3 linked regions of the Macaca fascicularis genome follow. The protein of the gene in region 1 interacts with the protein of each later gene in a biochemical or structural test. Links are inferred from orthologs where the notes say so. Each region holds a gene or a part of one and is shown in the gene's direction. Other genes may lie near its edges.

What was found.
Region 2: the proteins of CTSL (region 1) and serpin B3 form a complex in vitro, tested with the Homo sapiens proteins (2 studies listed by BioGRID, with this or other methods). The link is inferred for Macaca fascicularis from reciprocal best matches to the Homo sapiens genes CTSL and SERPINB3.
Region 3: the proteins of CTSL (region 1) and CSTA form a complex in vitro, tested with the Homo sapiens proteins (2 studies listed by BioGRID). The link is inferred for Macaca fascicularis from reciprocal best matches to the Homo sapiens genes CTSL and CSTA.

The regions. Positions count from the first base shown.
Region 1 is NC_088389.1:118,152,342-118,156,542, forward strand, and holds the start of CTSL (procathepsin L), read left to right. Parts: upstream 1-1,375; 5' UTR 1,376-1,567; intron 1,568-2,835; 5' UTR 2,836-2,845; coding exon 2,846-2,971; intron 2,972-3,275; coding exon 3,276-3,398; intron 3,399-3,498; coding exon 3,499-3,645; intron 3,646-3,829; coding exon 3,830-4,054; intron 4,055-4,201. UniProt on the Homo sapiens protein: Thiol protease important for the overall degradation of proteins in lysosomes. Plays a critical for normal cellular functions such as general protein turnover, antigen processing and bone remodeling.
Region 2 is NC_088392.1:17,181,513-17,185,747, reverse strand, and holds the start of serpin B3, read left to right. Parts: upstream 1-1,396; 5' UTR 1,397-1,512; intron 1,513-2,120; 5' UTR 2,121-2,145; coding exon 2,146-2,310; intron 2,311-2,508; coding exon 2,509-2,565; intron 2,566-3,826; coding exon 3,827-3,955; intron 3,956-4,235. UniProt on the Homo sapiens protein: May act as a papain-like cysteine protease inhibitor to modulate the host immune response against tumor cells. Also functions as an inhibitor of UV-induced apoptosis via suppression of the activity of c-Jun NH(2)-terminal kinase (JNK1).
Region 3 is NC_088376.1:160,903,931-160,907,578, reverse strand, and holds the end of CSTA (cystatin-A), read left to right. Parts: intron 1-2,916; coding exon 2,917-3,045; 3' UTR 3,046-3,148; downstream 3,149-3,648. UniProt on the Homo sapiens protein: This is an intracellular thiol proteinase inhibitor. Has an important role in desmosome-mediated cell-cell adhesion in the lower levels of the epidermis.

The DNA.
Region 1 (4,201 bases):
AGCTAGGAGAAGGGGAATGGGGAACTATTATTCAATGGATACAGAGTTTCAGTTGAGGAAGATAAACAAGCTCTGGGGATAAACAGTAGTAATGGTTACACAACGTGAACGTACTCAATGCCTCTGAATTCAAAATTGGTTAAAATGGTACTTGTTACGTTAGGTATATTTTACCACTTAAAAAATTATCGGTGATTGTGCTTCTAAAAGAGTTATCAGTTTAATCTTCAGTAGAACTCAACTGACAAACAGAAATACACAATGACTTCATTTTTCACAAAGTCAAAATATGCATACGAAAAGGTTATGGGGGAAAAGGCAGAGGTAATTATTTTTTCCCCGAAAGGTATTTTCTACGACGAATGTTTTTATGTAATAAAAAAATAAAATGACAAAAGTTTAGAATGTTTGTGGGTTTTGTTCGTTAAATGCTTAATTATATAAATTAATATATACATTAGATTAAGATACATATTTTTCCTCTATCTACAACATTTCTGCATTCTCTGTATCTTAAATCCTGACATTAAATGTCATTAAATTTCTTAAATCTCAAGAGAACGACTTGGTTACCAAGGAAGATATAATCCATAACCTAGAGAGTGGGCGAATAAAAGCAGCTTCTAATGTTATCAACTGCTTTTCTCCTGTCAACCAAATGTTTCTGTAAATAACTCCTTTCTGTTGGTTTTGGGAAAGACGTGGGAGAAAGAAGAATCTCTGAATGGAGGAGTCTGGAGAGGATGCTTGACAAAACGCCCGCGCTCTCTGGAGACGCAGCCAGTCTTCTCCCTCCTAGGGTCTGGTCTTGACGATAGCATCTCGTGTTTTGGGGACGCCTTTCCCTACCAGATTCTTCTAAAGCCCAGCTGCACCCACCCTTAAGTGGGAGATAAGGCTTCTGCCCGCGGGCTCTGCGTTCTTCCACCCGGCCCCACCTTTGCTGTGGACTAAACAGGAGCCACTGGACTAGAGTACACTGGCTCTCGGCTATGCGGACCAAAGATTCCAGGACTAAGGAAAAGCTAGGTTAGGCTGAAAGTCCATACTGCGCTTGCTGTAAACGTCTTTTCAGGAGCCACCTGCCCAGTGCAGTAAGTCGGGTACTTAGTTGATTCGAGCGCTCCAGGGAGACGCCCGACCCTACTCTGCGCAGCCTCGGGGTACCAGCTCCGCTTCCCCCAAGTCCACTGAGGCAGGCGCGCCCCGCTCTGGGACAGTCAGTAAACAAGCCACGAACCGCGCCAGGGGTCAGAGTACCCAGAGGCCCCGCCCAGCTGCCGGCACAGCCAATCGTAGCGCAGCCAGGCGGTGGGGCGGTGCCGGCGGAGCCCAGACCCGAGGTTTTAGAGGCAGAGTCGGGCGAAGCTGGGCCAGAACCGCGACCTCCGCAACCTCAAGAGCGGCATCCGTGGAGTGCGCCTGCGCAGCTACGACCGCAGCAGGAAAGCGCTGCCGGCCAGGCCCAGCTGGGGCCGGACAGGGACTGGAAGAGAGGACGCGGTCGAGGAGTTGTGCACCAGCCCTGGCAACGAGAGCGTCTGCCCTGAGCTCTGCCGGCCTTAAGGTGGGGAAGCGGGAGAGGGCAATTAAGGACCCCGCGGAAGCGCGGAGACCACGCAGGCGGGGTCCCTGGTTGAGCGGGCAGGCTAGCCTCCGAGCCGGGTGGACACAGGTACCGCAGCCAGGCCGCGCCGCGCCGACTCATGGCCTGGCCCGGTCAGACAGGGAAGCTCAGTTCCCGCACGCCCGACAGCGGTGCTCCTGCTGGCGTCACCGCAAACATCCTCTGACCGCTGCAGCCTGTGTGTGGCGCAGGCGTCACGTCCCCGGCCTTGCCACGCCTGGAGCCCTGGCAGCTGGCTGCGGGGCGCTGGCTTCCCGCGTGCGGCCATATGACCCCGTCCCTGATTTAGGGGAGCAATTTGGGGTGTCGGCAGCACAGGCCCAGGTGAGTGAAGGAGTGAGCAGTGTGTGCTGTCCTTCCCAGTTTTTCCTGGGAAAGCATTTCAGAAGGGTTTCATTTAAGGAGAGGTTGGGGCAGGCACGCTGGCTCACGCCTGTAATCCCAGCACTTTGGGAGGCTGAGGTGGGCGGATCACCTGAGGTCAGGAGTTCGAGACCAGCCTGGCCAACATGGTGAAACCCCGTCTCTACTAAAAATACAAAATTAGACAGGCGAGGTGGCACACGTCTGTAGTCCCAGCTAGTCAAGAGGCTGAGGAAGAATGGCTTGAACCCGGGAGGCGGAGGTTGCCGTGAGCTCAGATCGCACCATTGCACTCCAGCCTGGGCGGCAGAGCAAGACTCCATCTCAAAAAAACAAAAACGGAGAGGTTGGAAAACATATCTCAGCTTCAGCTGTTTGTTAGTCAAGAAGATGTGTGAAGGCCTCCTAATTCTTGGGGATCTCTTTGTCACTACTTGGGAATCCCACCTTATCATTATTGAGGTTTTGCCTGGGCACAAAACCTGGGATTTTTGCCATTGGTACAAAACCTGGATCAACTGTTTCCTGGTTTCCTAGTTGTTGCCTTAAGCTTCTCACCCACAAGGTGCTTTCATACCTTTCTCATAACCTAAATTATCATCCCATAAACTGTTTAAACTCTTATAGCTCTAGCCAGGCTGCTTTTCATTTTGGTGGGTCCATCCAGCACCTCCATGTGCCCTGTTTTTCTCCAGGCACATCCTTGGCCTCTTCCACAGTCCTTGGGTAAATGCTTGGAAGAATAATTTAAATATTTTTATTCTACGATGGTGGCCCTAATTTTTCAAGGGGCAGTAAGATTGCTTTTTAGGATCAGTCTAATCAGATCCTCATTTCTTTTCTAGGTTTTGAAACATGAATCCTACATTCATCCTCGCTGCCTTTTGCCTGGGAATTGCCTCAGCTACTTTAACATTTAATCACAGTTTAGAGGCACAGTGGACCAAGTGGAAGGCGATGCACAACAGATTATACGGCATGGTTAGTGGTATCTGAAACTTCCCCAGAAAAAATAGTCTTGGCTGTTGAGAAGTTTTAGACAGAGAGTAGCTTCTAGAGGCCAGCTTTCACCAGTAGCCTAATATAATAACCTAATGGCACCGATTATGAGCACAGTATGGGCATTCATCCCTTTTCTGTCTCAATTTGGGGAACAGCATCCCCAGAGGTGTCAAGCCTTCTCTGGCCATGGTTTCTCTTCCGTCTCTGTCTACAGAATCACTTGGTGAGCATGAGTTGGGTTTTAGGTAGAAATAAAGAGCATCAGTTACATGTTTGCCTCTAGAATGAAGAAGGATGGAGGAGAGCAGTGTGGGAGAAGAACATGAAGATGATTGAACTGCACAATCAGGAATACAGCCAAGGGAAACACAGCTTCACAATGGCCATGAACACCTTTGGAGACATGGTGAGTGTGCTGTCGACCGCCGAGCTCTGTGCTTCCTCCCCTCAGTTCTTTACTAAAGTAATCTCTTGCTTTTCAACATTTTATTTCCTTTTCCTTGAAGACCAGTGAAGAATTCAGGCAGGTGATGAATGGCTTTCAAAACCGTAAACCCAGGAAGGGGAAAGTGTTCCAGGAACCTCTGTTTTATGAGGCCCCCAGATCTGTGGATTGGAGAGAGAAAGGCTACGTGACTCCTGTGAAGAATCAGGTGAGACAGTGTCAGGGCCAGACCTCCCATCTTCCCAGGAAAGCCAAGAAGTGATTGACATCTTTGTTTTGGTAGACTTTAAAGCGATGTGCGGTTCACTTTTTAACAGTATTCAGATGTGTGAGCTGTTGTCAAAGTCTTACTATTTTTTTGTGAATGACAGCTTTTTTTATTCCCTCTTCAGGGTCAGTGTGGTTCTTGTTGGGCTTTTAGCGCTACTGGTGCTCTTGAAGGACAGATGTTCCGGAAAACTGGGAAGCTTGTCTCACTGAGTGAGCAGAATCTGGTAGACTGCTCTGGGCCTCAAGGCAATGAGGGCTGCAATGGGGGCCTAATGGATTATGCCTTCCAGTATGTTGCCGACAATGGAGGCCTGGACTCTGAGGAATCCTATCCATATGAGGCAACAGTAAGTGGAGCTCCTTGTCGTCATTCCAGCGCAGCTTTTGGGAGGTGGAACACTTTCAGAGATAACAGATACCTTTTTCGGAATTCATGTATTAGGGCTGGGTGGGGTGGCTCACGCCTATAATCCCAGCACTTTAGGAGGCTGAGC
Region 2 (4,235 bases), on another chromosome or scaffold:
AGATATTGGATTAAATGGCCTTGGACAACAACCCTCTCTCTGGCCACAGACATTCTTCAGATTACAAGATATTCCAGGGAAAACACTGGAATGAGTCTGAAGCCAGGTGCTAAATAGTAGGACCACTGAGCAATGTTGTGATCCCGACAGTTCAAACAACTTATTTTTCTGCTTCATTTTTAAATGAAAAATTTAAAAACTGCCATTCAAAATGGCCCATTTGTTTCAATTGTTCTTCTCAGTGTTAGCCTGTTAACTCAGTGTATTAGTCTGTTTTCATGCTGCTGATAAAGACATACCCAAGACTGGCAAGAGAAAGAGGCTTAATTGGACTTACACTTCCATGTGATTGGAGAGGCCTCCGAATCATGGTGGGAGGCAAAAGTTATTCTTACATGGTGGCAGCAAGAGAAAATGAGGAAGAAGCAAAAGAAAAAAACCCCTGATAAACCCATCAGATCTCCTGAGACTTATTAACTATCACGAGAATAGCACAGAAAAAGACCGGTCCCCATGATTCAGTTACCTCCACATGGGTCCCTCCAACAACACGTGGGAATTCTGGTAGATACAATTCAAGTTGAGATTTGGGTGGGGACACAGCCAAACCGTATCACTCAGCAAGGTAGATAACTTTCTCACTGACTCTATGCAACAGAAAACATCTGGGATGGTTGAAAGGGGCACGGGAGATGACTGGCAGGATCACTGCCAAGGTACAGCATTCAAGAGAAAGCAATAGAATCCTGTTCTCCATAGTATGCTATGAGATACTGAAGTACACTTCTTCGGTATCTCTTTGGACTTAAAATTAGAATTATATTCCTTGTTATACAGAAAAATAACTAATGAAATGCATAGGATGACAAAAACTTTCAGAACCGAAAAACAGGAAATGTAAGCTTTTTAGTTGTTTGGTGTTCAAAGCATGCCTTAAAGACAATGCAACATCCAAGAAAAGAATGGCCCTTTTTCTGTGTTTGTTTTGTTTGTTTGTTTTCTTTTCTTTTCTTTTTTTTTTTTAAACATCTGGAGTTGTATACAAACGAAAGGAGCTGAAATTAATGAGAGGAAATTGGAATTCTAACCTTATTCTCATTGGCAATAGAAAGTCACCGACATTATTTCAAATGAGCCAGTGATTGCTGATTTACATTTTCATTTTTTCCCTATAGATTAAAAAGGAAGTACAATGGTAGAACAGTAATCGTATCCTTTGTCGTAAATGTTCTCACTCATCAAGGTGAGTGTTAGCCTGCTTGTGAAATCTCCTCTCCACAGAGGGAGAGGCAGCAAGAAAGGCACCTACAGGTATTTCAAATAAGCCAGTGGTGCTGATTTGCATTTGCATTTTTTCCCTGTAGATTAAAAAGGAGTGTTAGCCTTCTTGTGAAATGTCTTCTCCACAGAGAGAGAGGCAGCAAGAGGAGAGGCATAAATTCAGGATCTCACCCTTCATTCCACAGACACACACAGGCTCTCTGCCCACGTCTGCTTCCTCTAGGAACACAGGTAAGTGCTTCAAGCCACTCCAGCTTAATAACATGAATTATTTTTGAGAATAATAATGATACTGTGTTCTATATCATGCATCTCCTGCATTCTCTCTGATTATGTTTTACTTATTCTGCCAGGGCACAATTAAAATATCTGTTTCATCTGATTTGTCCTTTATGTAAATTACTTAGTTCCAAGTAAACTAAGGCACCCTGAGGAACACAGAGGGAGAGTGCCTTGCAGCCACAAAGCTTTGAAGGAAACGTCAGGGATTCCTCTTAAGAGCTGGTTGGATGTGATCCACAAAGGTCTCCTGTTAGCATTCATTATAAAGCCTTCCTACCTAGCCCCAGTGTAACCAGCAATGAAGGAAAGATAAAGAGGGTTTATTACTGATTTATAATAGCTTTAAAAACAGTAATTTTGTGAGCCTCTTAATTAGGACATTAATATATTTAATATATGCACATTGTAGAAAGATTGAAACGTTAAAAACGAGAAAAGAAAAACTTTAAATGTCAAAATCTCACAACCCAGATATGTCATTTGTTTAAGAAAATCATACTACAAAATACCACTGCATTTATTAAAGTCATTCTGACAGGAATCTGATGCTTTTCCAGGAGTCCAGATCACATCGAGTTCACCATGAATTCACTCAGTGAAGCCAACACCAAGTTCATGTTCGATCTGTTCCAACAGTTCAGAAAATCACAAAAGAACAACACCTTCTATTCCCCTATCAGCATCACAACAGCATTAGGGATGGTCCTCTTAGGGGCCAAAGACAACACTGCACAACAAATTAACAAGGTAGGTATCAGCTTCATTACGCTGTCCTGTTGCAGCTTCTCTCTGTGGTTCCGGCGGCTCGCATGCAGATGGTAATAGATGTGGTGGCCTGATGGGTAGCACAGGGGGCTGAGCAGGAATTTCCGTTAACTGTGAGCCCACTGACTTAAACAGATCTTTTGAGTAAAGTTTTCTTGTCCCGCTTCATGTCTCTTCCAGGTTCTTCACTTCGATCAAGTCCCAGAGAACACCACAGAAAAAGCTGCAACACATCACGTGAGTCACAGAGCACTTTGGTTCAGCTTTAGATCCCTGAGCAGGTCATAGTTTAAACCTGGAACTTCACAGAAACTAAGTAAAGGCCATTCTTAGGGGAAAGCCTGGATGAAAAGATTGAGACGTACAGAGTGGATTGGCATTTCATGGCACATAATTATTATTCCTCGTTTCTGCATTACTGAAAGACAGTCAGCCCTGTACTTCAGAGCATAGGTCTGGATCAGGATAGGGTGGGTTCAAATTGCAACTTTGCTCTTCACAAATGATGAACATGGCAGGACACAATTGCTCAGAATCCTAGTGACCTCATCCCAGAAAACGAAGGGTAATAAAAAATCTGACTCAATACATGCAAATACATGCAAACATTTCCAACAGTGTCTTGCCCATAAAGTCATAATAAATATTATTATTATAAAATAGCTATAATCATACTAATCACAGTAATATTGCAAAAATAATTAAATTTTAATTGAGTCATTAATGAGATTAAGAGGAATAAGCACAAGTCTATTTTGGAAAATGATTGCTATGGAATATATTGGTTTAGAGCCTTAATAGAGAAAAATGCTTTGCTGGAAAGTAGGAGGTTCTAGATTTAACAGGCTTAGGTTCAAAACTTGGCACTTCTAATTTATGTCTCTATAAATAGAGTTTCTTTTCTATTCTCTGAGCTTTCTTGTTTACATCTGAATTGAACTAAAGACTCAGAGTTACCCATGTAAAGCTCTTACCCATGTACCTGGCACACACTGTTCTCACATGCAGAGAATGACCATCGTGAGGAAAGAGCCATAGATCAGTCAGTGTGTCTTACAAGATGATACTACCAACAGGTATAACAGGGCTCCCTGGCATAATCTATTTAAAATATCCAAACTTAAATATACTCATATTCTTGATGTCTGTTAGAAGTGTAATGTGGTCCTTGTCCTTAAGGAACTGACAGTTTAACTGGGAAGCAAACCTAACCCTTTAAGCCAACAAGGGGAAAACCCAATGGTAGACAGTGCTGCATCTTTAGTTCAGAAGAGAGAAGATTGGAGTACATTAGTGCAGGAAGAATTTTCTGGAAGAAGTCAAACGTAAGGTAGATTTTGAAGAGTATTTGAGGTGAAATACACCAAGTATCAGGGAATAAGCATAAAGGTCATCATTGAGGATACCAGCCTTTAGGAACTGATCTAACAGACTTAGCACGGGTTTAGAATTTACACCGATGCAGTAATTCAGTGATCTGCTTTTTTGACATTTGAAGGTTGATAGGTCAGGAAATGTTCATCACCAGTTTCAAAAGCTTCTGACTGAATTAAACAAATCCACTGATGCATATGAGCTGAAGATCGCCAATAAGCTCTTCGGAGAAAAGACGTTTCAATTTTTACAGGTAAATTTCACCTGACCTACCCACCTTTCGTCTGCAGCCTGGTGTCTGTGTCCCTGAGTGGCCTAATGGAAGAAAGCAAGGCAGATGAGCCTGGCCGACCCAAGTGGGGAGCATTTACTCAGAGTGCTTTAGCTCCGTTTCCACAACTCTCCCCCACTGGAGTGTTCCAGACCCTGACAATACATCAGTGAAGTGTGCATTTAGGGATAATCTTGTAAAAAAGAGGAGGTTGGGTAGTAGAGTGAGTAATAAGATACCATCAGTAAACCGGCACTGACCT
Region 3 (3,648 bases), on another chromosome or scaffold:
AGTAAAGACCAGGTCACATGTCACAGGGAGCTTTGACCAGGTCACGGGGAGACACATGTCACAGAGGACCCTGCTGTATCCTCAGAAAACAATGGCACCATTTCCTCCATTTTCAATCTGATTTCTTCATGGCTGGAAAAGAACGTTTTCCCGTTAAAAATGATTATGTGCAAAGATAGGAAGCATTCCATCAACATTAGAATATTTATTTTAATAATTTATGATTAATTCAAATGCATACATTTCACATGTTACCACATATTACATTTCACATATTACCGCATATTACCAGCTCACATGTCTCTTCAACAGTTCATCAGACAATTATCTTGAAAATTTCTTCTCTTGACCACCCTTTTGCCCTCTCTTAATCAGTCTCTCTCTCTCTCTCTCCTTCTCTCTGTCTCTGTCTCTTTCTCTCTCTGTCTCTCTCATCTTTTCTTCCTTCTGCTATCGAATTTTTCCTATTGGATCTCAGCCACTGATCCTAGTTCCCTTTTACTTCCTGGTAGTCTGGCTGTTGATCCCTTTGCTCTGAGCCACTCTAGATTTAAGGTCTTGCCAGTGACGAGACCTTCTCTATGTATTTCAGGTACCTATCAAGAGGCAGGTGGTACAATGGAAGGACCACAGGCTTAGGTGTCAGAGTGTCCTGGGTTTGAACCCTTGAAGCTCCTCCTCCTCTCTGAGCCTTCATTCCCTTATCTGCACAATGAGGGTAATAATCTGCTTCGCAGGGTGTTGTGAGGAATATATAAGCTGGAAATTTATTGAGCACTTACAATTCACCATGCACTAGTCTAAGAACAGGGCTTGTATTATCTCATTTAATCCTCACAACAAATCTATGAGATAAGTACAATCACTTCTCTTGGGTTACCAATGAAAAAATTGAGCTCCAGGGTGGTGAAGAGACTAAAAAGGTCATACAACTATAAGATCTGAGTCAGGATTTGAGCCCAGATAGACTGAGCTTAACTACTGGCTGTGCTGCCTCTAATATAAAGCACAAAATAAGAGCTTTTAAAAGGTTACACTGGCCTGGTGTGGTGGCTCACGTCTGTAATCCCAACACTATGGGAGACCAAGGCGGGAGTATAGCTTGAAGCCAGGAGTTTGAGATCAGCCTGGGCAACATAGCGAGACCTTGTCTCTACAAAGAAAATGTTTTAATTACCTAGGCATGGTGATGCACATCAGTAGTCCTAGCTACTTGGGAAGATGAGGTAGAAGGATCACTTGAGCCAAGGAGTTTGACATTGCAGTGAGCTGAGATCGCACCACTGCACTGCAGCCCAGGCAACAGAGCGAGGCCTCATTCCCCCATCAGTACCCTCCAAAGAGGTTACACTGTAGAGTGAAAAGAATGTAGATGCTAGAGCCTAACAGATCTGGGTTTGAATATTGGCTGTGCCACTTATTAGCTGAGAAATTTATGGAAAATCACTTAATCTCTCTTACTCTGCTTCCACATCTGTAAAATTTCATTGCTCCACCTTTCTTCAGGCCTATAATATAAGTTAATATAATCATTTATATAAAATGTTCATCATAGTGTCTGGCTAACAGTAAACATTTGATATATGGCATTTGTTAAAATTAGGATAGGAAGTGACATCAGAAGCACAATAAATATTTTTATAAGACAAAGCATTTATTGTCTCAAGCAAGAACCAAAGTAAAAATTCTTACCATAATTTTCCAGGTCTCAGATTCATGTCCAAACTACTGCTTCTGCTTCAACCTTCATACCAATGACTTCCTAGCAAAACCCCTTAGCTTTTTTTTTTTTCTTTTTTGAGACAGAGTTTCACTCTGTCGCTCAGGCTGGAGTGCAGTGGCACAATCTCGGCTCTCTGCGACCTCCATCTCCCAGATTCAAGCGATTCTCCTGCTTCAGCCTCCCAGGTAGCTGGGATTACAGGTGTGCACCACCATGCCCAGCTAATTTTGTATTTTTAGTTTTCACCATGTTGGCCAGGTTTGTCTCAAACTCCTGACCTCAGGTGATCCACCCGCCTCGGCCTCCCAAAGTGCTGGAATTATAGGCGTGAGCCACAGTGCCCGACCCCTTCACTCTAGAAGGGAGGGTGTCTGCCCCCTGGGCTCTGCTCAATCTTACCAGTGGGCGTTTATAAAGTAGGTTCTGATATAGGTATATGAACCCTGCATCCCAAATTTTCTAGGGCAATTCTGATTTTCTTTTCCCTTTTCAGACTGTATGGCAAATAAAGTGTCCCAAGTTGGGAGTCAGAAAACAGCATCACCAAAAATATAGGCTGTCACTGGTTTTCTTGCTCCATGCATCTTTGAAAATGAAATGCTGTCCTTTGTGCCCAGATTATACTAAAAAAAAATAACAAAATAAACCTAGGACTTATGCCTCTTGCCATGCCATTAGTCTACAATTTTTTTTTTTTTTTTTTTTTTTTTTAGGCAGAATCTTGCTGTATCACTCAGGCTGGAGTGCAGCAGCGCAATCTCGGCTCACTGCAACCTTCTCCTCCTGGGTTCAAGTGATTTTCCTGCCTCAGTCTCCCGAGTAGCTGGGATTACAGGCATGCACCACCATGCCTGGCTAATTTTTTGTATTTTTAGTAGAGACGGGGTTTCACCATGCTGGCCAGGCTGGTCTCGAACTCCTGACCTCGTGATCCACCTGCCTCAGCCTCCCAAAGTACTAGGATTACAGGTGGGAGCCACGGCGCCCAGCCTACTCTACTCTTTCTCTCCTAAAATAAGGTGGTGGATTTATGAATACAAAGAGTCTAAGAATGGGTGGACTAGGTCTAGCAATGCTATTCCTCAGCAGCTTTTTGGACAGAAGTCTTTATAGATCTGTAGCTCTCTCACTTGATGTAGACCCATTTGAATAAATCTCCTTTTGTTTTCTCTTTTTTTTTTAATACTTTTCAGGTACGAGCAGGTGATAATCATTATATGCACTTGAAAGTATTCAAAAGTCTTCCCGGACAAAATGAGGACTTGGTACTTACTGGATACCAGGCTGACAAAAACAAGGACGATGAGCTGACGGGTTTTTAGCAGCATGTTCCCAAAGTGTTCTAATTCCTTCCACTGGCTACTGAGTCATGATCCTTGCTGATAAATAAAACCATCAATAAAGAAGCATTCTTTTCCAAAGAAATTATTTCTTCAATTATTTCTCATTTATTGTATTAAGTAGAAATTACCTTTTCTTTCTCAAAATCAGTGCTACTGCTTTAGAGTATAAATTCCATATAAATTGATGGCATTTGGAAATCTTATAAAAACTAGTTAAGCCTAATGCAATTGGCTAAAGGATAGTACACCACACTCACCCCCACCATAGGCAGGCCGGATCATGGACTATCAGTTCATCAGCCTCCTTGTTCCCTGTGGCTGCTGATAACCCAGTATTCCATCTCTACCCTCATATTTTAAAATTAAATCAAGCATTTTACAAAGTGTGTGTATGTGTGTGCGTGTATATATATAAAATATATATATATATATATATATATATATATATTTTTTTTTTTTTTTTTTTTTGAGATGGAGTCTTATTCTGTCACCCAGGCTGGAGTGCAATGGTGCAATCTCGGCTCACTGCAACCTCTGCCTCCTGGGTTCAAGCGATTCTCCCATCTCAGCCTCCCAAGTAGC